Arabidopsis thaliana: one gene and its partners. The protein of the gene in region 3 interacts with the protein of the main gene of each other region in a pairwise test. Each region holds a gene or a part of one and is shown on either strand. Other genes may lie near its edges. The genes, in order: PPT2, ATG8F, AT2G46550 and EDA14.

Region 1 (5,851 bases), on a different chromosome or scaffold from region 3:
GAAAGAAATATCAGTAAACTTCAGTAATCTAAGAAAATAAAAAAGCTCAAATAAAACAACGATAAAAGAGAGGAACATAGGGGTCTACCATAAAAACGAGGGTGATTGTTACAGGAAGGTCTTAGATACTTACACTGACAGTAATTTCATGACGGCGGGAATAGGCCTCAGGGGATAGTTCACTTGCTGGAGCTGATGAAGGAAGAGGAACTCTGGTAGATGCTGCACCATAAGCAGAATCCCCAACTCCATTAGCAGCACCGTTCGAATAAGGCGGTCCACTCCTGCCACCCTATAGCAAATTGAGAAAAAGTAAACAGATGAACAGAGAAATAATGTATAAAATATCGTTAACAGCAACCAGATGTAGTACCTCAGAAAACCTGGACACACGTTCAGAGCCTCTGGAGTACTTATCGTCATCCTTGGGAGGAGCATAGGCATCAGTTTGTTGAACCTGAACGGAAGAGCTAACAGAAACGGCGGGAGAAAACTTAGGAGGTAGAGAGGGGGTTGGTTTCTCGTACTGAGTAACATTGGTCTCAGGATTCCAAAAGTACAAGTAACCAGTTCTATCATCGATAAGGCCTTTCCAGGGCTTGGGAAGAGTATGATCCTCAGGTGCGTAACGGACAACAGAAGCAGCAGCGGTAGCAGCCATAGCAAAGACTTCTGCAACATGTCAAAGCGATTCAGTAAACCAAATCGGTAATCCACAGAAATCATCACCAAACTCGACTTAGGTTTCAATTAATTCAACCATAAATGAGAAAAGCATCCAACTGCAATCGAGTCACAGATCTGGATTCAAATCGAACAATAAAAAAAAAAACTAACACGTAATAAAAGGATTCGATCAGAAATCAGAATTAAACACGACCAAACCGACGCAATCTTAGAGAGAAACTAGAAATTGAAACAGAGAGCTTAAATACCAAATTCTAGGAATCTAAGTCAGGATTGAGGAATTTTGTCAACAGATAAACGCGTACCTGATTTGATATTCAAGAGTCGAGTTTGAATGTGGAAAACGAACCAGCAGATTGGATTAAAGACTCGGGTCAAATCTGTGAACTCGAGCTTTTGAGATTCCCTTTTTTGGTTTCCCTCTCTATAACAATCTACGCCACAAGAAGAAGCGTAGAAGCAAGAGAGAGAAAGTTAGACCAAAAGCAAGGATGTCCAACTTTAGACCGTCTCTGTTAGTTAGGTTTATAAAACCATCCATCGTCGCAACAAAAATATCTGCACCTTAATGAGCCGCCTCCTTCTTTTGGGCCCTTTTGGGCCACTCCAATTTTATTCCTAGGCCCATTATATAATTTCCATGTAAAGAATAGAATTATTTAATGAGATTAGTTGAATTTAACAAAAGTTAATAGTGTCATGTAAAAACGACATGGATGAACAAAAATATCAACATTTTTCGCATAAATAATAAACTAAGAGCTTCTATATACAAAATTCAAGACATTTTTGGATTTGGTTTGACTTGGACTCGTTTGGCTCTGCTGTACAAATATACTCCAGCTAGTGCAGTCGCGGTACCTGTTTATTTAACAAGTGATTATATATTGCTTCAATAAAATGAACAAGTGTAACAAATCCTTTACTAATATATACTACTAGTAGTTGTTTACCTATAGAGTTAAGAGGTGAGACTGGAGTTTTGAAGAAAAGAATGGATGATGTAATAACCACCACACGCTTCACGCAGTTCCCTACAGAGTGTGTTACTGGAGACACCATCTCCAATATCATATACGATACCTACAACAACAACCCCAATTTTTATGTGTTGATTAGAAGCCTAACACTAACCGACTTTACAAAATTCAGTACAGTTTTTCTGAAACGGAGGAACTAGACGGACCAACCTGTTGGTAGCTATGCAAGCAAACACCAGCAAGTAGAGACATGATGCAAAACTCTTTTACCGACAAACCCTGGCTTGTCTGTCAAGCAACCACATACAAACACACATTAGTTCTTTCTCTTTTAGATCATCTAGCTATATCGGTTTATGCTTTTCCACTTACTGCTACTTGTAAATGCGAAGGAGTAACCTTGAACCCATCGATGAGGATTGCTAAAGGAACCAGTAAGATAAAGGAGATAATGGTTATTATAGAGAAAAGGTTGATGTTGTCCAAAGCGTCCTGTTTCAATATACAAACATTAATAGATTTCGATTACTAGTTTCTTTCTTGAGATCATAAGGATAACTTATATTCAAACTCTTTTACCTTTCCAACCATGAATTTTTTACTGAGGACATTGCGTGATTGATTCGTCACATTAGAAGCCATTGCACTGCAGAAACCAATCCTGGTTTATCCCAATACCATGAATTAATCAAATCAATTAAAACTTCATCAAAAGTTTATCAAGAATACTATTTTTTTTGTTCTTGTTCTTGTTGTTCATACCAATTGAAAGAAGCTTCTGTGAAAGATGCTAAAGAGACTCCAGCGACAATAGGTAACAACGAACAAACAATCCACAGACTCGGCCACTGGACATTAATCAAAATTTCAAAGATTATGTCTGAAAATATAACTCTCTTGTATAATCTAAGGTTATAGATTAAGTCTGAAACAGAGCGTATCTTTGTTTTGCTTACCTCACCGAGCAAGAGAACAGAAAGCAAGACGGTGAAGAAAGGCTCCATTGCTTTGATAGTGTGGGTGAAAGAGACATTTACTCTTCCTAAGCTCACATTTGTTAACAAGTTCCCTAACGTGTGAGCTACTGCTAGTTGTACGATCACCGTAAACTGGAGAGGATTACAATTGAATGAATCTCTCTGTTTTTAGGGTTTGACGGAATCAATATTTGATTTACCTGAGAAGGAGAAAATTTGGGGCGTGGATGGAGTTTAAGGAGCCACATTATAGCAATCATCAACGTTCCACACCCTAATTGAAATGCTGTTACAGTCGCTGGATATGGATAAACCCTAAGTACCTGGATCGATGAATGAACAAGTTTCATACTTGTATGAAGACTGATAATAGGTTCGAGTACTGCTTCTTGCATTGAAATGGACTGTTTAATTAAATGAAGCAAAGAAGGAACCTGTTTGTTGAAAATGTTGTAGTAGATATTGAGAAGGTACCAAACTCCAAACATGCCTCCTAGCTTCAACCCTTTAACCAAACTTCCAGATTCCAAATCTCCTCCTTCCACATTCTCCGGAACTGTAGCTGACTTGAGCTTGAAGCCATTAAATCTAAGGTTCGGTCTCCAAGGATAAGAGTTAGAAGATGAAAAAGCTCTGCTTCTTCTGCTCAACGCTGATTCAGGAGTAGACTTGGCAAGGAACAATGGAGATGGAAGTCTTGGATTTGGATTTAGAAATGTGAGAGCGAACATAATTTTTTCCTCTTATCAGATGCTCCAAGATGTGCATAAATCCTCCGGCATTTGTTGGAATTTCTCACAAGTAACCGACTCTTGCTAACTTTTTCTTCTTCCTCTATTGGTAAGAGTTATGTTACATGAGTCTACCTCCTCATTTTCATGTAAGAAGAAAAAAGTTTGTTTTGTTTTTGGATATACTGCAAACTTGATATTAGTATTATTTAGAAGAGTTGTCTTTATTATGTGACTTTTCTCTCGTTCTACTATCTGAATGTTTTTGAGTATGATAAAAATAACTCACATGCCGATGCCGACATTTTTTTCAATATAACATTGGCTCGATTTTATTTATCTTTCCTCATAAGAGCCAGTGGTATTTGCCGGTATTGTTTCTTCTCATGTTCTCCATTCCATGTGTGTTCTGTAAATAATGTTATGGAAATGATTTGACATACTTGGTCACTCATTTCTTTACAAAGGGGCCGTGGTTTTCTTCGTTTATAATAATATCAAAAAGTTGGTAACGCTATAAATAATTATTTAAAATAAAGTTTACGTACGAACATGACAAATTACTGACCACAACACCAATTGATTTTTAGTGTGGAATTTGAAAATGTCAGGGGAGAATTGTATGGATGATATGAAAGGGGCCGCGTTGAAACATGTGGATGTTGTATTGTATGCTCCTGAGTCCACCCTTTTCTTTCCGTGTTATTTCATACTATTACAAATAAGGTTGGTCCCATTGCTTTGATCACATTATTGATTATACCATTTACTTATTATGTCAGTGTTGGTACAGGTCATTGATCACAATTTGGGCTTTAAACGGAGAGGATGGAAACTGAATTCTAAATACATTTCGGCCCATTTAGGGTCCATAACCTTCTACGCCAATCAGAAGGTACGTCGACATGAGCAACTTGGTCAATTTTATGACATAAATAAAATAAAAATAAAAAAATAAAAATCGATCTGAGGGGTTTTAGAAAGAAAAGAAGAAATTCGGGAGTCGGAGAAATTGTCGGGTGGATCGATGAATACTTGTCAGTTTATGGATAAGCAGATAATGGATCTATCTTCTTCTTCATCTCTACCTTCCACTGATTTCATCGATCTGATGAACAATCATGACGGCGATGATCACCAGAAGAAGCAGGTGATCGGCGATAATGGATTGGACTCTAAGAAAGAAGTGATCGTTCCTAGCTATGATTTCCATCCCATACGTCCCACCACCGCCGCACGATTGTCTCACTCGGCTTTAGATCTCGCCGGATCCACGACTAGGGTTAATTGGTCCGCCTCTGATTATAAACCCGTTTCCACTACTTCGCCTAACACTGTACTTACTACTACTTCTCGAATCTTCCTCTCTTTTTTTTTTTTGTACATGATTCTACATCATAAGCCTATAAGAGGACTTGTCTATTTCTGATTGATTTGTTTTTTTTTATTCGGCCAGAATTTTGGATCTCTCGATTCTATTGAACCTTCCAAGTTGGTTCCTGACAAGGGTCAAAATGTGTTTAACACGACTATTATGTCCGAGATTATAGATAGGACAATGAAGAAACATACCGATACCTTGCTTCATGTAATGGAAGGTGTTAGTGCACGTCTTTCACAGCTGGAGACCAGAACCCACAACCTCGAGAACCTGGTGGATGATCTCAAAGTTTCTGTTGACAATAGTCACGGCAGCACTGATGGGAAAATGAGACAGCTTAAAAATATCCTTGTAGAGGTAACTTTGCTGATTGCTTTTCGAAACTAGAATTTATAGCTTTTCCTGGCAACTATTGATCTTTTTTATACAGAAATTTTCTCATTTATGAACATGTCTTTTCTTGAACCAGGCTTATAGTACTTTCTGTTGATACTTCAGTTCCTTCTTTATGCGAATGGTGTGCAGGTGCAGAGTGGTGTGCAACTATTGAAGGACAAACAAGAGATTCTCGAAGCTCAGCTTTCAAAGCATCAGGTATCCAACCAGCATGCCAAAACACACTCTTTACACGTTGATCCCACTGCTCAATCGCCCGCTCCAGTCCCTATGCAGCAGTTTCCTCTTACTTCTTTCCCACAGCCACCATCTTCCACTGCTGCTCCTTCCCAGCCACCTTCCTCGCAACTACCACCTCAGCTACCTACGCAGTTTTCTTCTCAACAAGAGCCGTATTGTCCTCCGCCTAGTCATCCTCAACCACCTCCATCAAACCCGCCTCCTTACCAAGCTCCTCAGACCCAAACGCCGCATCAACCATCTTACCAGTCACCGCCTCAGCAGCCACAGTACCCCCAACAGCCACCACCATCATCAGGCTACAACCCCGAAGAACAACCACCATATCAGATGCAATCTTACCCGCCAAACCCTCCTCGTCAACAGCCACCTGCTGGTTCTACCCCTTCTCAACAGTTCTACAACCCTCCTCAACCACAACCATCAATGTACGATGGAGCGGGTGGTAGATCTAATTCA
Region 2 (6,138 bases), on a different chromosome or scaffold from region 3:
TAACACTATTTTTATCACCCTGTTATGAAATGTTAGGCTTAGCTTTAAGATTTTAGCTTCAATGAAGGTTTTTATCTCTTATACACATTGGTATTCTTTGTAATGATACTTTTGTTACGTGCTACTTGGAGCTAAAATGGCGGCAAAGAGATCTATTTGAGTCTACATGTCGATTATTCTAGATTGGTTATTGTTGATTTAGCTTCAGGCTCGGTTTAGTTTCTGTATTTAAGATCTCTTGTACATTCAAAGCTTAATGAAGAATTTTCACAATTCTGTTTCTCAAATGTTGAAAATCTTTTATGCAATACCCATAAGAAACAGAGTAATTAATAGGAAGCACCTTGTTTGTTGTATACGAGGAGAAATAGAGAACAAAGAAGTTGGTCATGAATATATATAGAGATAGCACAAGAGTCATTACAACCACCAACATGGTGAATGCATATGCATATAACAGTATGATATATTTAGAGAGACTGGTATATATGGATCGGGTAATTAAGACTTCTCGTTGTGGATCGGAGGCTTACGATGAGGCTGAGGATAATCCATGACTACTACTTCTTCCCCTGTCTCGACTCCACCCAACGCCCGCCTCCTTTCTCCACCATTGAAGACGTCCAAAGAAGCAACCTTGTGATGATGATGCTTATGTGACCTTAAACGACGAGCGGCAGAGGCACATCCAACATTGGAAGACAAAAGCAGAAGAATGAAACAGAACACTATCACGAGTCCACTCCTCAAAGAGCAAGACATGACTTCTCTTATTCTTCTTCTTGTTCTTGAGATACTTGTGTATATATGCTGTGTCTGTATACAGGGAGATGAGACTAGAGCAGGACAAAGAAAGTTTGAAATGTTGTTAATTGGTGTAAGAGAAGAGAAGAGGGAAGGAGAGTATTTGTAGGCAGAAGAGAGTAAAGAGAGTAAGACAAGCATTAAATACAGGTGGGGGGAGGGGTCCTTCATTATCATAACATGCTCTTGTTCCTCTTCTCTTTTATTTCTTTTTAATCTTCTCTCTTGTCTATTATTCAAATATATTTTACATTCAACATACATATCTATCGTATGTATATGGGTGTCTTGATCGGCCAAACCTTTTGTCTACTTGAGAGTCTTCGTGGGGTCATCATCTCCTGCATTCTCATTTTCCTTTCTTCCATTTGCTCACCTTATTCTCCGGTTCTTCACCTTTTTCATCCACGCCATTATTGTATGACCGACGTGTTTACTCTCTTAAGTCCTAATCGATCACCTTCTTATCACTACACTATTTGACATTGATTTCTTTGGACAAAACACTCACAAGTTATGAAAAGCTTTTACATTCAACTTTCACTTCAATGGTCCAAAATCCCAAAAACACAACCGCGTCTCTCATGTTCCACGTGACCGGTTGGAACCTTGAATTACAATCTTTGACGATCATAAATCGAGCTAAAACTGTGAACAAATAAATATATGAAACAAAAATCAATATTGAAAAGTGTAAGATGAGAAACAAGCCAGCATGGTCCGACCGTCTCCTCCTTCTCTCCGTCAACGACAATGTGGGACCTTTATAAGATCGTCGCCGGCCAACCTTCAACCGGTACCGACCATGTCTGCCACGTGGCACAGTTCCCTTGTGCTTGCACTTCTATTGAGTTTGGTGATATAACTTCTCTTCACTTAGGCTTTGCAATTTGGAACTGTCATGGCCCATGTGCCATAAGCGACGTGTTATGTCGGCTTATAGATTGAAGACATCAAAAAAAACACAACAAAGTCAAGAGGGAGATGTGATAGATTCACCTAAAGTAGGTTTTTAGATCCTTGAAAGAAGATTATATACATTATTTTATGTTTTCTGTACATATTAACGCCCGACCAAAGGTCCTTAGAGAATAAGTACATAGGTGGCTTGCTTGCTTAGTAATTAATAAGAAGATGAAATATTTGGTGAAAATAGAGAGGAGTAAAATGAAATATCCAGCAAGAGGTCTCTATTATGGAGATCCAAATCCAAATGTGTTTTCTCCGCTGTAAGTGACATAGAGGAACCCATCATCATCCTTTTTCTCTTCGTACACAGAAGACATGAGCGCACCTGCAAAGTTACCAGATCAGATCAGCCAAATATAAAGAATTTATAATCACCGGGGAACATATAAGTAGACGCCTTCTTATGCTCTTGTTACTTGTGTTAAAAGATAATGAAACTCCTGAGTCTTGAATACAGAGGAGATCTATCTGTTTACCTGCTGGAGGAAGAACATTGTCCACGAATATGAAGATAGCCTTTTCTGCACTCAATTTGATTCTTTTGCGAATGACATACACAAACTGCCCCACAGTCAGATCAGCCGGGACTAGGTACCTGCAAATTTGAAAAAAGCTTAGTTATCAATCACTATTATTAACAAGTCAGGTCCGAATGAAAAGGATACTGATGCCATTTATATGCTTACTTTTTCTTGTCGATGGTTGGTATATCACTCTTCTCAGCCTTCTCAACAATCACCTGGATCCCACAAAAATATAAATGCGTGGAAATCATCATCTCAAGTGTCATTTTTACCATGTGAATCATAAAGCACGTAGCCACATGAATCATGCAAATCTACTTATCTAAGCCGTAAGTACTCAGTAAGAATCGAGTTTCAGAAAGTCACGTTCCAAAAAATGACAACTAAATTCAAAGTCCTAATGTTGTTATAGTCACTATAACTCAATCAACTCCATGTAGTTGAAACAGTGGCAAACATATATCACAAGCATGAAGCTAATCAAACAATAATAACTTGATAACCATCCTTTAGTCGGGTAGGGTGTCCATTTAAAACCAGATGCTATCCCAATAAGTTCATTATATCCCAATAAGTTCATTACTACCATATTGCTGGGCCATAAACCACAACAACTTAACCTGCATAAACTCAGTCAAACACAAAAGATTGATCCGAACATAGAAAGGGAAACAATATGCTAATCACATATAACTTTAGAAATGTATGATCGATCAATGTATAAGAGAGACACTGAAAGTCTCACCGGAATCCTATCAGGATACTTCTCTCTAATCCTAGCAGCCTCTGCCCTTCTCTTCTCTGAAGATTTAGGAAACAGGATCATTAGATCAAAGCACAAGGTTTTGATTTCGAGGACCAAACAGTAAAGCAAGAACAAAGCTCAAATCCAAACCTAAGTCATGCTCTTGCTTGAACGAGCTTTTTGCCATTCCTTCCACGCCTACACACACATAACAAATAGGTGACACCAATCAGACAACCATCAAAACAAATTTAACACTCAAATCAAATCATCAATTCCCAAACTCTGGAACTCAGATTATCAAAATTCCCACAAATCTATCAGTCGATCATGTTAAAGACCCAACCTTTAAGTAATCTAAACGAAAGTACAGGATCGCAATCAAACCAAAAAAGAAGTTAAGAACTCAGTGATCAAACCTGTAGACTACAAAGAACGAAGCTTTTCTGCGATCAAACACTTCTCCAGAGCACAACGCTATCGTTGAAGATAACAACAACAATTAACGAAAAAATATGAAAGAAAAAGCAAATAAGCAACCTACAAAAATTCTGCAAAACATTAAAAAATTATGCGATAAGGTCAGAGATTCTCTACAGATGGTGTATGGTAACATCTAAACACTTCAGCTGACGTTGTATGCTTAATCTGTTCAGTGAGAATCTGACGGTAGATATTAGCTATTTACTGAAATAGGAATCTCAACCGTCCATTTTACTGAAGGTGTACGAGGTAACTGTCTACGTAGATATTGCCTCCAACAAAGGATAAAGAAGAACCGGATATGCTGGGATCACGTTTCTGCATACGATATGACACGTTTACCCCTAGAAAATGTGTGTTAGGTGAAGAGTTCGGAAGGGTAATAGTTGGAAATTGAGAATGTCGCTTATAAGCTTTGCCTCTTCTAACAAAATGTAGGGCCTAGTGCAGTAATGGGCCTTGCAAATAAACGGATGGAAATATGAAAACTAATAAATAAAGTATAGGCAGAAGTTTTTTTATGACTGTTATAGAGATCTGGAGATGTAGGTCTTGGTGTATGGACAGCTTAGGATTTCAAGCTTAGGCATTTCGAAATCAAGGGTTGAAAGCAATTACTGTATTTGAGAATATATCTTCAACACTGCACAAAACTCATTTTGTAATTTATTAAAATACCGGAATTGAGTGATTAATGTCAAAACCGAGAATTTACAGGATAACAAAGATAATTAATCAAAATGAATCTTTTATCAAAGTAAGATAAGTTTTCTAACAAGTTTTTTACTTATAGATATAAAATATTATAGTTGTGAAAAGACATAAACATTTTTAAAAGTTAAGATTGAGTTTTCTGAAGTTGAAAAAAAAATCAAAATTATTTTTTAATCATTATCCAAAATCATTACTTAATCCAAACCGATGCCCACCCTAATTATTTAACTATATTAATAAGGTTTGTAAGCAATAGTATATAAAAAGCTAAAAAAAATATAAGGGTATCTCACTACGTATGACACTTATCAAGTTTGTTAGAGCATATGGGGCACATATGTGGGAGTATGCACTTTTTCATGTTTATTTCACTGCACTTTTTCATGTTTATTTCACTGTTTCAAAACAATCAATACAATTATATCCTTACTCTCGTAACCTCAGGTCAAATAGCATGGTTAAGAAATGCCTTTGACGAATGATTTAGCTGTGCAGCAATATATAGTACTTTGAACTGCTCTAATGGGAGTGGATTGTGGATTTTCCTTTCTTCTGTTTCTTAATCTTGACATTAGATTTCCACTCCACCCCATCTTCGTCTAGTACCTTATAAGTCGTTCCAGCAATGTAGAAGGTGACTTTCTTCTCTTCAAGGTACCTCACAAAACGTTTAGCAAACTCAATGGGTGTTGAATGGCTTTTGTACTTTGATAAAAGACTCACAGCAATCTCCTAGTTAGGCTTGAAAATCAAAGTCTTGACAACTCGTTATGCCTCATCAATCACTTTTCCTCTAGCCAAGCCGTCTAAATATGTCCCCATTATTTCAATAGTTGGTTCTATCCATAGAGTCTTGACTATCCTTGCAAGAAGATAATGCCCATACTCAGTTTGTCGAGCATGTGTACAAGTTACCATCACGTTCCAAAATGTTGAGTGAGTTTTGATCAAGGTGGAAGGAATGTTCTCAAAGACTTGGATTGCTTTGAAGCATTCACTATTTGTGCCTAAGGTTGATATAAATGCATTCCACATACCTATACATGTAGCTCCAGATTTACCGCATTCATGAAAGAGTTTTTCTGTTAAGAAGAGTTTCAAACTCCAACTCTTAAGATTGGAGAGATATATTAGTCACATGGTAACTTTGTTAAGGAAAACAAAAACTCAAATATTTTTAAAATTTGTTAATCAAATAATTTTAAAATTGATTTCTTGTATAAAAGTATTGTTTTTTTGTGTATTTTAAATTATATTTTTATTTTTATTAAGTTATTATGAATCAAATATTTAAGAATTAAATTGAATTTTGATTTATACTTATATTCCAATCTTGTATATAAGTTAGTCAGATTGAAATATATGGTCGAAAATTGGTAAAAAATAATATTCACCATTATTTTGGTCATTAAGTTTTGACCACTTTTTGGTAAGATGTTTTCGACCACTATTCTCGGTCAAAAATGTCAACCGATCAAAATATTTCTACCATTTTTATTGGTCTAAAATATTCGAAGCAAATGTTTAATTCAGTATAAACATGCAACCAACAATTTACAAATGGTCAAAGAATTTCTACCAATTTTATTGGTCAGAACTCAACTTGCAACCAACAATTTACATCAACTTCGTTTTGGTAAAAAAAATATCGATCGAAGATAGGTGTTTTTGACCAAACTGATGAATGTATCAATTCTAATCGTAATACATTTTCGACATTTACCACACTGATGAATGGTTTTTACTGTTAGGGTCGAACAAAAAAAAAATCCAAATTGATGTTAGCTGTTCTGATGTCTCTAATTTCGATTAATTCTACCAAAACATTAATAACTTGGACTACATTTTAGTTGAAATTTACCCCTTAAAAACATCCAAATTGGGTGATACATTGGTGAG
Region 3 (6,165 bases):
GTTGGGAAACTCAAGAAGAATTTGAAGAGTTTGTTGATCCTCCCCCAACAGTTGAAAGTGTTATTACGAGAGCATTCTCTAATCACCCGACAATGCCCCTCTTCTTGGTTGGCTCAAGCAACACTCACATATACTTGTGGGAGGTTTGTGCCTAAACACTTGCACCATCTGTTTTAGGAGTTCGGAGTAAATGATATGACATTTCTTATCTATCCTTGTGGATCTTATAATGCAAACCTTGCATGTTACAGTTTGGAAACGAAAGAGCTACTGCAACTTATGGTGTTCTTCCTGCTGCAAATGTTTCCCCTCCTTATGCTTTGGCGTCGATATCAGCAGTGCAATTCGGTCCATTCGGACACAGATTTGCTAGCGCTGCACTGGATGGAACTGTATGCACTTGGCAATCAGAAGTTGGAGGAAGGAGCAATATTCATCCTGTTGAATCATCTCTTTGCTTCAATGGCCATGCATCGTACGTTTCATGATCCTTGAGTCTATAAGTTCTTGTTCACTAATATGCTAAAAACACATAAGTTTTAAATTATTGCTGTCAGTCATGAAAATTACCATTATTTCTCTGTTTCTTGTTCTATTGGCTTCAGCTATTCTGTTTCTGTTATTTATGGTTGCAGAGATGTAGGATATATTAGTTCGAGTGGATCCATTGTTGCAGCTTCAGGATATAGCTCAAGTGGTGCAAATGTCGTTGTGTGGGATACTCTAGCTCCCCCTTCAACCTCCCAGGCATCTATCAATTGCCATGAAGGTCCTCCAATAATTTTTTTTGTAGAAGTGTTAGTATCATTTCCCATAATCACAACTCTTAACAAGTTTTTTTTTTGTTTTGTCCCTTTTCTTCTATGAAGGTGGTGCACGCTCTATCTCGGTATTTGATAATGACATTGGTAGTGGTTCAATTTCTCCTATGATTGTGACTGGTGGCAAAAATGGTGATGTCGGTTTGCACGATTTCCGGTTTATTGCAACCGGAAAGATGAAGAAGCAAAGGAACCCTGACGGTGGATCTTCGACTGATGGAGATCAAAACAAGAATGGGATGCTTTGGTATATACCAAAGGCTCACTTAGGTGCACACCCTAAAGCCTATTTTCACCTTCATATTCCAATTTTACCGGAAAAATATCCTGAAATTTGATTGACATTGATGCAAATTTCAGGGAGTGTGACAAAAATAGCGACAATCCCACGCACAAGTCTTTTCTTGACGGGAAGCAAAGACGGAGAAGTAAAACTTTGGGATGCGAAAGCTGCAAAGTTGATTCATCATTGGCCTAAACTACACGAAAGACACACTTTTCTGCAGCCAAACTCGAGAGGCTACGGTGGAATCATCCGGGTTAGTGAACCAAATCACCTAAAGCATAATCCTTTCATCGTATTTTCTCACAGTGGCTTTGGTTTCTTAGTAAACCAGAATCAAAGTAATGTCGGTGTATGTAATCGAATTTGGGTATGTGTTACGAATTTGGTGTAGGCTGGGGTGACTGACATACAAGTTTGTCCGAATGGATTTATAACGTGTGGTGGTGATGGCACGGTGAAGTTCGTCAGCCTCGTAGATTCTTCCTATGGCGATGCTAAATAAAAAGAAGATACATTTTCCGGGAAAGTTTTGCAGTCGAGAAAACGAGTTATTGCTACCTTGCGTGTGTTTATTGAATACGTGATTTTTTGTGATGTAGTTTTTTTCTCTATATGGTTTAATATTTGTGTATATACAAATATATTAAAGATTATGAAGCAGTAGAATCTTGAGTTGACCATAATCCAGATTTTAATTTATCTTTGACTTGACTTCAATCTATACTCGGAAATATCATCTATTTATCTTTGACATAGTTTTCGTTGACTTTGTTGCATCAGATTTAGACCAGATTAAATCGGACTGATTCCAATTAGATTGGTGTTAAGTGTAGTGCAATAGAACCGAAAATAAACATTATCAAGATTTAGTTCGTTATTGTAATTTTTTTTCTTTCTTTTTGGTGTTGGTTTGGTATTAGCTCGATATAGTTTAATAAGATTATGAAAAATTGACGGCTAGGAACCTGGCCACTATCGTATTACGTAGTGGAATATTATCTTATGGTTGATTATTAAACTGCTCCATAATTTGTGTTGTAGTCTTGTAGACGAAATGATATGAATCATCAAAATGTTTGATTAAAACCCCATTTGCCAAGAATTATTCCTAAAACTATTAAGTTAAGGCAAAGGTCCATTTCATTAATAATTATTCTAAAGAAGTTAGTTGTATATATAGTATATATATAGACTATGGTGTTAATTATGACTGAATATATTAGTGCTCACATAAAGCATCTTATTAGAATATCTTAGATTGCTTAAATAATTATTAACCACGTAATAAATAAATCTCATGTAACACTATCAATTGGAGAATAATGGAGAGAGACAATTAACCATAATGACTTGAAGACACTTGGCTTCACCTAACATTCAATTTCCTAGACGAGGCCACTATTTACATTCTCTTTACCTAACTTTCAGAACTACATTAAACCAAATTGACATGTAAAAAACCTAATTTTATATTTTCAACATGTCTATTTACCATTGGCCACTTTATTACTTAAATGAAAACGATGTCATAAAAAATATTAGTAGACCCTAACTTGAAATTTAAAATTTAATCGATCATTTAAAAATCAAAATCATTCGACGCAATTACTACAAGATTTTTATGTTTTAACCAAACATTTATGACGTAATCTACCATCGCGCGTAATCGTATAGTGATAACTGATAAGATAAAAGGTCTTATCCGTTAAAAAAGGAAAGGGAAGCCTTTTTTAGATCTTCTTTTTTGTCGCCACGTGTAATTAATATCTAATCGAACGGCTGTCAGGTGAAATCTATGGGCAAATCTGTGGACTCAAATACTCATTAACATAACTATGGGTCCTCTCAGAAAACGGTGCCGTTTTGCGGAAGCTTGCGTGCTGAATGACACAGAGACTAAGAAAACGATAATAAACTGCAAAATGATTCAAAAGATTTTAATCGAAAGCAAACAAAAATTCTCTGACAATCAGAAAACAAAAAAAAATCAGAACAACTCTTATCTTCTTCACGAGACTGACTAAACAATCATAGATTTTTCCGTTTTTTGGGTTTCGTCTGGTGTTACTCTCTCCTTCTGGTTAGTTCTTTTTTTCCGAATTCTTACAAATTATTGCGGTTTCATTAAGATGAATTATGATTTGGATCACCATCCGTTGTTTTTGTGTCCGGTTTTGATTCTTAGGTCTAATCGCGTTTCATGTTTTTTTTTTGTGTTCTTCTGGGTTTGATAATTTTATAGTTGAAGTTTTATGAAATTTGATTTCAATTGCAAATAATGATGATTTGTTTAGTAAGTTGATAAATTGACAAAGAATCTGGCTTTGGTTTTTGTTTGCTTCTAAGAAAATTAGGAACTAATTCTTCAATTTACCTGGAAAGCAAAACATATCAGATTCTCTAAAAAGTAGTTTTGTAATAAGCTTTTTTGGTGATGGATCTGTCGGCAATCAGAAAGATTCTTCCTTTGAAATAAATGATTCATATTATTTTTCCTATAAATAGATTCAAAACGGTTAATAAGATTTTGCTAAATCTACCTAATTTCTAAATCACATTGATCTTGAATTGAATTCTCAGTCTCTTGTCTTATCTTTAGAGTTATGGTGAAATAATGGCAGCAGCTGAAGCAAGAGCAGTGTGGCAAAGAACAGTTAATCGTTGCTTTGTCCAAGAAGACGCTAAAAGAGCTCCCAAGTTAACTTATTGCCAATCATCTTCATCCTCAACTGCTTCTTCAACTAAGCAAGTGGAAGTTTCTGGTTCTTCTCCTCGAGTTTCTGTTGAACCACGGACTCAATCATCTTGTGCAGGTTTCATGCCTCTTCCTCGAAACCCGAATTTCCCTGATCTGTTACCCCACAACACCAGACTGTGGAGTCATCCTCATCATCAGTTTCAGGTGAATAAGAAGCAGCCATTGGAGGATGAGGTTAACAATCAAGGTGTATCTGAGAAGAAGTCTGAATTGGGAGCTGGAGAGAAACAAGGAAAGTCTTTTAATTCCGAAAGCTTTCAAGAGTTTATAGAGTTGATGGAGACAAGGGAGAGTTATGGTTCAACTGGGTATGATGAGTCCTCTGAGAAAAAGTTAAGTGAGCTCTCTTTTGATCCTAGCTCGCCGTGGAATCTTCTCTCGAGTGAGAAAGCTGCACCGTGGTGGCGAACTACGGATAAAGACGAGTTAGCTTCCTTGGTTGCACAAAGATCTCTAGACTATGTTGAGAATTGTGATTTACCAACACCGCAGAAGATGAAACGATCTTATTATGGTAGTCCACGTGGTTTTGATTCTGATGGATTGAGAGACTACTCTGTCTCTGGCCAAACCATCAAGGGTACAAGCAAAGGAAGCAGCTGCAAGAACAGACCCGAGGCTTCATCTGAGTCTGATTTAAGCAAATCCGAGCTTCTAGAAGCACTGAGGCGTTCGCAAACGCGGGCTAGGGAAGCGGAGAATATGGCTAAAGAAGCTTATGCAGAGAAAGAGCACTTGGTGAAGATATTGTTGAAGCAAGCCGCAGAGCTTTTTGGGTATAAGCAATGGTTACAACTGCTTCAGCTAGAAGCACTTTACCTCCAAATCAAGAACAAGGAGATTGACAATAAGAACAACGACGATCCAGGGGTTTCCATCCCTTGTTGGAGCAATGGCAAAGCAAGAAAAGAGGGGAGAAAGAGAAGAAGCAAAAGGGGTAAACCGAATGGAGCAAAGTACGCGGTTGGTTTAGCATTGGGGATGAGTCTTGTTGGTGCTGGTTTGCTTCTTGGATGGACTGTTGGATGGATGCAGATGCTATCGTTCTAGTTTAAAGAGAAGAAAAGAGACAAAACTTCATCTTTTTTCTCATTGAACAGCTTGATGATGTTGAAATGAGTTAAAAGATTGGCTTCGAATCAGCTTTTGGATTTCGTTAAGGAGAGAATGTAAATTGTTGTAAGAATTTTGTTAATATTGTGTTTACTAGTTTGATCTTTTCCTTCAAAAATCATATGAAATTATCTTCTTTAATGTGTAAGTAAGTATCTTTCATGTTCATGTAATATCTGCATATATTAACTACTGTACAGTGTATATGATCTTTCTTTCATGTTCCTAGAGCTTCGATTTCTTGAAAATTTAAAATACTTAGTAATTTTTTACTGCTGGAAGCAGAATGAGAAAGAGAAAGATATACAGTATATATATTTTTTAATTACGGCAAAGGTGATTATAATGGGCCGAATTGCGAACATTTGGGCCCAGTAACCCGACCCGACCGGAGATGATCTTTAATTTCGTTTCAGGTGAGAAAATGGTTTACTCAGGAGCAACTATCAATCGAATCAGACATTGACGAGGAGCTTTGGTCGTAATCCGAGGAAGAGATTAAAATCGGAAAGTGCGAAAATGCCGGTCATGGAGAAATTGAGGATGTTCGTGGCGCAGGAACCAGTTGTGGCTGCTTCTTGCTTAATCGGCGGTGTTGGTATGAACCCTAATCTCAATCTTAATTCCTCACCGATCGATCGCATTCTCTTTCTTAGAAAAGGATTTGCTTTGGGATTTATCTAGTTTCTGGAATTCCTCTTTGAATCTATAGAGCTAGTTTGCTCGATTGTAATTTGAGAATATAGAGAAATGCCTGATCCAAATCTCTCTATTCGGAATCGTCATTTCTTTGGGTTGTCAAAGAGAGTGTATTTTAAGGAGTTGAAATTAAGCTTAATTTGGAACCATGTCTTCCATTATCTCCATGTATAAGTAGCAAAAGATTATGTCTTTCTTGAACATTAGCAAAAGGCAATTGTGTTAATATACATTTGCTGATGGATTCTCTTCATCTTGTAGGACTATTTTTGCCTGCGGTTGTGAGGCCTATTCTAGACTCTCTCGAGGCTTCCAAACAAGTTAAAGCTCCTCCACTTACCGATGTATGTATTAGAATATATTTATCTCTGTGGAAATTCCTTTTGCTGCTAAAATCGTCATCTATTTCCTATCTAATGAAATGTCTCTGATGTGGGAACTCTGCATGATAGTTGTTCTTAGTATCCGTGTAGGCGAATGTTTGGACG
Region 4 (6,079 bases), on a different chromosome or scaffold from region 3:
GAGCTTCAATCACCTCCTTTGCACGGTACATTATATATTACCCAATTACCATTCCTCTTTTCTTCTCTTTTTTAAATCCTAACTTTTATTTTTGTCATTTTTTAAAAAACAATTTGATAAATAATTATTGTTCTAACCAGTGTTCTAAATTACGATAAACGTTTTTCTTGTGATATATTAGTATGTAAATAATTCACGATGACTTGTTATGAAAACTACTTGATTAGTATTAACAGAATTTTTGCACATTTATATGTATATTATATTAAAATTTATTTGAATTATAGTTGAAAATATAACAAATTTAACGGATAATCCGTAAAATTTAGCGTGTTTATATTGAGATACAGAAAAGTGGTGTATCATATCTTTCTTTCTTTTAGTTAGTCATTTTATTTTTTATCAATAATTTTAAAATGTTATATACTTTAAATCTTTTGGCTAAACATAATTAATTATAAGTTTATTTTATATAGACAATTAATAGGTTTCTGAAAAATTGGAACTAATAACGCATATCATAAACATAGGGGTAACATTTGTGTCTTATGCCTTTAATTAAAATGACTTTATAATGTTTTCTGAAATTATTTAAGACTAATTGTTTTTTAGTAGAAATAGCAAATATCATAAGCCAGTGCATTTGTGTTATATGCCAAAGATGGCTGTTTTTCTTTATAAGTTAGGATTTGATTCCAAATTTAAACTTGTACTAAAACAGCAATTGTACCAAATCATTTAAAGTCCCATTGCTTTTTGTTTTCTTTCTCTCTTTACATAAGAGTAAATAAATAATAAATTAAAAAGGCTGAACCAATATTTTTTGAGTCTTTTAAGTAACAAAATCTAAAACTTAAACAAAAACCAAAATTTAAAAGCTGAGTAAGATTTGCGTATTTTTGGTAAAAGCCAATCAGAAAGAAAAGGGCCCATTATTTGCTATTTACAAACAGTCTTTTTGTGTATACCGAACTTTATCTTAGTGGTAAAATTTTGAAGTCTTCAATCTTCTATTTTGGATTCATGTGTTTATATTTCGTCAATCACATTAGTAAAACTTTTCCAGATACGCAACAAAGAGCTTAAAGTAAACAGATATTGTCCCATCCAAAATTGTATGTAAAGTTCTGCAGGTTCTGGAGATCAAAAAAACTATAATAAAACTGCCTGCTATATAAACTTTAATAGAGATCAGAAAAATGATGTCAAGCTACACAACCATGAAAGCTTTTCTCTTCAGCGTTTTCTATCGGCGCGCCATTTGTATACCGCTTTACCATTTGGATTGAGCAGCTCGTCATCACGCAGCTTCCGTTTGCGACCCTTTTTCTGTCCATTAAAAGAGTTTAATCAGAGATGGTCTAGTTGCATACCAAGAAACAGTAATGTGTTCGGGGGACTGATGATAACCTGTAACTCCTTCTGCATTGACATATCCGTGTATAACTTCTCCAAATCTTTAGCCCTGCTCTTCCGCCCCTCGAGGTCTCTATAGGACCTATCCATTTTCCTGTTTTAAGAAAATAGAATACAATGACTATTGATTGTCCGTTTGATACCTTTGAAAACATCTAATTCATTTCAGATACATACTTTTTAATATCTTTCGGAATCTCTACTGTAGAGATATCACTTTTGCTTCTACCTTGTACCTCCAGTTCTCTAGCCTCCTCTCTGATAAAGGAACAACAGAGTTAAAAAAGAAGATTATAAGAAAACACAAACAATGTGGTACCGGTAATGTCTTTTAAATGTTAAGGTAAGGAGGATCAAATTTTGCAGTGTCCATATGACACATTCAAAATGAATGAGAAAATCACGAAAGCTACACCAAGTAAAGAAAGGACTAAAAGTTGGGATTAACCTGTCTTCTGCATAGTAAACATGTCTACGGCTTGACTGATCCCCAGTACATTGCAGCGATGCAGTCAGCTTGTCAATTTTCTACAAAAGATAAGAAGGAACAAAGAGAAAAACTGGATAAATATGATCGTAAGCAGAAAGCTCTTGGGGTGTGTATGAGGAAAGATAACTTACGTTTTTCTCACTCTGCCATTTTTGGAACACATATCCAATATCTTGAGTCTTCATAATCATAAGCTCTTCCGCAGAGTATTTATTTACCTCATCTCTGAAAACAATAACTTTGTCAAAATTTACAAACCAAGAAGAAAACGAGAAACCATGAGAATAGCAAAAGAGATAATAGTGAAAAGCAAAAAGAAGAAAACGAAGAGTTTCGATATGCTTACTTTGGTCTATGACGTCCATCAACTGTTTTACTATTAATCATCTTAAAGTTGAATTCATCTGGATTCTTGAATGCAGCCTTCTGCCTAAGTATCTGCAGTAAAGTAAAACGGTGTAAGAGAAACTGAACTCCCAACGATTTAGTTTCTTAGCTATCTCACAGATATCATCAATCAATCCCGTAAACTAACAAATGTCTACTTGAAAGACTTTATTAACATAATCTCGACAGTATAATCATAGGAGAGATGGAATTGAAAACAGAGAGTGTAATAGTTACCTTTAAAGTTTCCTGCTTTTTGTGATAAGCATTAGCTCGGATAATATAATCCTTATGCTTCTCGAGGATGCCAAACCTCTTCCTCGCTTCCCTGATGATACGTTTAAAAATCCAAACTTTAAGAAGAGAAACGAAGAAAAGAACAAAAAGGACACCTGAGAGCAATAATAGCTTACGGTTGAGATCGCTCCTTATGAGCAGGCCGTGGAATAGCATTACGCAGCGACGACATGTTGGATTTGCTCTTGACGCTGCAATTTCAGTCACAAAACTGTTTAGAATTAAGAGAGCTTAAAGATGATCTTAAGCTACTCGAGCTCATCAACTTAACGAATTGAAACTGAAACCCTAATCTGAAGTATGAATCTAATCCAACAATGCAACATTCTCAAGTCTAAACCTAACTATGCATTCGAACAGACGAAACGAAAGAAAAAAAGAAGCCAAAGATTCTCACGTGAAATACAGGGGAACCCTAGAAATTAGACGACGCCGAGAAGAAAGGTGAAAAGTAGAAGTCGCCGGGAACACAACAAATTTCACCGATGACCTGAAACTTGGTTTCTGGAAAGGAGTAGAGAAGTCGGCGAGAAGAAGAGTTTAGGGTTTTTTGGGGATAAAGAAAACTCAAACCGAACCTTCTAGCTGAGACTAAGGGTTTAGTGGATACGTCGCAATTACTCATTTACCCTTTTTATCGTTTTAGTTGCTTTACTTGCAAATTATAGTTTCCACACATAAAATGTCTTAACGTCTTTAGATGAAAATTTCGTAATTAACTTTCCAAATGTGATGAGCATTGCACATCTACCGTTCCAAATTTCAATGTATCTTTGTACAATTTATTATTTGTTTGGGGTGTTTCATAAAGAGTGCCAAAATTTGGGGTAGAAATTATAAAACTAACGAAACAATGCATTGCTTTAACTTGACAAACGCACAGATACAGAGAGACAGAAGATATCAAAAAGCTCCAAACGCTTAAAACGTGATCAACAAAGCAACAAAAGTAAACTACGATTATGAAAAAGGTCGAGACTTTACATGATCTTTATCTGTCTCTCTATGTAATTGTGCATCTCTACATGAAACCCACAAGATAAATGCCTAAGCAAAGAATAATTGTTCTTTTTGTTTCTTTGTAGTTCTCATCTGCCGTGCAGATTTAGAGTATTGAAGATTGAAGAATGCAGGTTCATTGAAGCTTAGTGATGACCATCATTTGGAAGTTAACTGCATGTGACATCTGAGTAGAAACCTATTATAGTCCTCCTCTCACAATTCTGGATACTGAGCAACTCCACGTCGAAAACTTCAAATTGCTTCGAGCTGAAGAAGGTCGAAGGTCCCACCTGGTTAGAGCCCAATGAACTTTGTTTTGTCAAAAATATGATCGAACCAAAGTGAAGACAGTTTTTACACAGTACAAGTCTAATCTACATTGGTTTAGATATGTCCCTAAACGAGCATGCTCAAGCTAGTAATTCCATTTGAAACATTGTTGATAGAGGGATGGTATATTCAACGGAATGGCTCAGCAAAAGTTTACCACTAGTCAGGTTTACAGTTCAGACAAGTGTATACTTGTAAGGAACAAGTAAGAACACTAACCGGAGGTCCCAATTCTGGAGGGATTATAATCCTTCTTCGCCCACCGGGCTTCATGTCACGAATTCCCATTTCAAATCCTGCATCATCATTATCCATATAGTATTAAAAATCTTCAATATGTGTTTCCTGTCAAAGAAGATTCTTCATTAACATCCTACTACTAAAGAGCCAAGTTAATGTCTTCTACTTGCCTGGAACAAGTGCATTGGTTCCCATGCGGATTCTAGCAGGAGAACCTTGTATGTAAGTACTATCTATTCGCCTTCCAGACTCATTGTAGCCAATGTAGTGAAAAGTCACCTGTCAAAATAACCATAAAACTCAATGATATCTTCAATTCTATATATCCAAGTAAAGAGCATACCAATTCCATAAATGATCTAACTTCAGATCCTAAGTTTAACTAATCTAACATAGAGGAAGTAGTACCTGCTGACCATCTTTTGGGAAATCACCTTGACCAACATTGAAATCCCGATATATGAGGCCAGAATCAGCCTTGATGTAATTATCAGAAGCTAATACCTTAACCTCAAAACCTGCACTATATCAGCAAAAACATAAACACAAACAAAAGGACAATAAGTTCTCATATTCTTCTTCCACTCAAGAATGAATAATACTCAAAGAAACAGTGAATAAAAGCTTAAACCTTCTCTAACAAAGTTAGGAAACTCGTCAGGAGCATTGTTCTCTCTCTGTATCCTCTTGTTCTGTTCTAGTAACCGTCTCTCATCATAAGGACTCTTTGATTTAGTCTTCGCAGATGAAGACAACGCTGGTAACAACAAACACGGCGAAGCAACTAAAACATAAACAAGACTTCTCCGACTCAAGCTGCAATTAAAAGACCAAGCTTTATCTCCAGAATCAAACCAAAAAAAGGAAAAAAAATTATCTCTCAAGATTGCAAATTTTACCATTGGTCTTTTGGTTCTTCACTCAATGAACAACATACCGAGCGATTGCTCCGAGATAATGACAGTTTTGTTTCACCTATAAGATTTTATGGAACAGTTTTGGTCACTTAACTAGTCTTATGGAACCAGCTTACTGAATCGTAAGATCAATAAGAGTTTTGAGAGATAGAGGGAAGAACTCACAGAGAAATGTAAGTCTTGGAGAGAGAGGAGTTGATAGAATCGTCACCATTGCTTCTCCCTCCGGCGATTCCTGCAAAAATCCAATGTTTATCCTAAAGTTTAATTTTGTAGATAAATTACATTTTACACCATCCATTTTCAGTTTATTATAATTTGGACCCACAATTCCTTTTGTTACCAATTTATCCGTGTGGTCATTGGTCAAACAAAGTTGACGAAAACTTTACTTGTGGTCTTGTGGACTCTTAACCAACTTGGTATTTTTGGACAATGACTCCGAGCAAAATTTAATAAGGTTAAAAGTTCATTTTTATTCAACAATATAAACTTCAAACAAAGAGAGTGACAACCAGATTCTCATCAACAATGCCGATGAATTAAAATTACAATATTAATACAAGTAATGAGGCAATAAATGGTGGTGAGTGTCATCTGAATTGGCTGTTTCTGAAAATACCAGTGCCTCCTCCTCTAGGTTGTTCACCGGATATGAGTTTCTGCAACCTAATTTGTTCTCGGAATTTGGCTATGAACTCACCGGCTTTTCTATCAACCTCATTATGATCATGGCTTGCATTGCTTTGGCTTTCCCAAGCAGCTTCTTCCTCCTCTTCGAAAGTTACTTCAGGTTGCTGCTCGGCCTGGGGCTCTTCCATAGCAACCTCTTCTGGCTCGGATTTAGCGCGAGTTTCTGAACTTTTCTCCTGGTGTAGTACAATCGATAGTTCTTCTTGTCGTGGTCTTCTCGATTTCGTTCTTCCTCGGCTTTCTACTTTAGCTTCTGCCCGATCCTCAGATGAATCTCCATCTGTCTTTACATCTTTCCCATGACGAT

The links.
Region 1: the proteins of AT2G46550 (region 3) and PPT2 interact in a two-hybrid assay, tested with the Arabidopsis thaliana proteins (one large-scale study listed by BioGRID).
Region 2: the proteins of AT2G46550 (region 3) and ATG8F interact in a two-hybrid assay, tested with the Arabidopsis thaliana proteins (one large-scale study listed by BioGRID).
Region 4: the proteins of AT2G46550 (region 3) and EDA14 interact in a two-hybrid assay, tested with the Arabidopsis thaliana proteins (one large-scale study listed by BioGRID).

The regions. Positions count from the first base shown.
Region 1 is NC_003074.8:215,482-221,332, forward strand, and holds PPT2 (phosphoenolpyruvate (pep)/phosphate translocator 2), read right to left. Parts: upstream 3,656-5,851; 5' UTR 3,376-3,655; coding exon 3,079-3,375; intron 2,968-3,078; coding exon 2,845-2,967; intron 2,777-2,844; coding exon 2,624-2,776; intron 2,516-2,623; coding exon 2,430-2,515; intron 2,329-2,429; coding exon 2,247-2,328; intron 2,160-2,246; coding exon 2,040-2,159; intron 1,956-2,039; coding exon 1,878-1,955; intron 1,771-1,877; coding exon 1,641-1,770; intron 1,549-1,640; coding exon 1,466-1,548; 3' UTR 1,324-1,465; downstream 1-1,323. Other genes in the region: DRH1 (DEAD box RNA helicase 1), read right to left, coding at 134-292, 374-661; AT3G01560 (proline-rich receptor-like kinase, putative (DUF1421)), read left to right, coding at 4,403-4,711, 4,832-5,113, 5,282-5,851. UniProt on the Arabidopsis thaliana protein: Phosphoenolpyruvate/phosphate translocator that transports phosphoenolpyruvate (PEP), 2-phosphoglycerate and 3-phosphoglycerate.
Region 2 is NC_003075.7:9,304,885-9,311,022, forward strand, and holds ATG8F (Ubiquitin-like superfamily protein), read right to left. Parts: upstream 3,655-6,138; 5' UTR 3,462-3,654; exon of another isoform or gene 3,241-3,461; 5' UTR 3,230-3,240; coding exon 3,193-3,229; intron 3,099-3,192; coding exon 3,043-3,098; exon of another isoform or gene 2,606-3,042; coding exon of another isoform or gene 2,513-2,605; coding exon 2,460-2,512; intron 2,369-2,459; coding exon 2,250-2,368; intron 2,099-2,249; coding exon 1,998-2,098; 3' UTR 1,455-1,997; downstream 1-1,454. Other genes in the region: RGF6 (root meristem growth factor), read right to left, coding at 502-945. UniProt on the Arabidopsis thaliana protein: Ubiquitin-like modifier involved in autophagosomes formation. May mediate the delivery of the autophagosomes to the vacuole via the microtubule cytoskeleton.
Region 3 is NC_003071.7:19,111,014-19,117,178, reverse strand, and holds AT2G46550 (uncharacterized protein), read left to right. Parts: upstream 1-2,972; 5' UTR 2,973-3,187; intron 3,188-3,706; 5' UTR 3,707-3,721; coding exon 3,722-4,915; 3' UTR 4,916-5,218; downstream 5,219-6,165. Other genes in the region: AT2G46560 (transducin family protein / WD-40 repeat family protein), read left to right, coding at 1-143, 252-475, 636-769, 870-1,091, 1,182-1,360, 1,499-1,609; AT2G46540 (fiber), read left to right, coding at 5,498-5,576, 5,939-6,021.
Region 4 is NC_003074.8:22,311,241-22,317,319, forward strand, and holds EDA14 (embryo sac development arrest 14), read right to left. Parts: upstream 3,188-6,079; 5' UTR 2,988-3,187; intron 2,782-2,987; 5' UTR 2,763-2,781; coding exon 2,707-2,762; intron 2,622-2,706; coding exon 2,531-2,621; intron 2,345-2,530; coding exon 2,253-2,344; intron 2,132-2,252; coding exon 2,038-2,131; intron 1,945-2,037; coding exon 1,865-1,944; intron 1,675-1,864; coding exon 1,594-1,674; intron 1,511-1,593; coding exon 1,411-1,510; intron 1,330-1,410; coding exon 1,237-1,329; 3' UTR 1,018-1,236; downstream 1-1,017. Other genes in the region: AT3G60370 (FKBP-like peptidyl-prolyl cis-trans isomerase family protein), read right to left, coding at 3,760-3,882, 4,142-4,218, 4,333-4,441, 4,571-4,680, 4,794-4,978, 5,062-5,137, 5,245-5,380; AT3G60380 (cotton fiber protein), read right to left, coding at 5,673-6,079.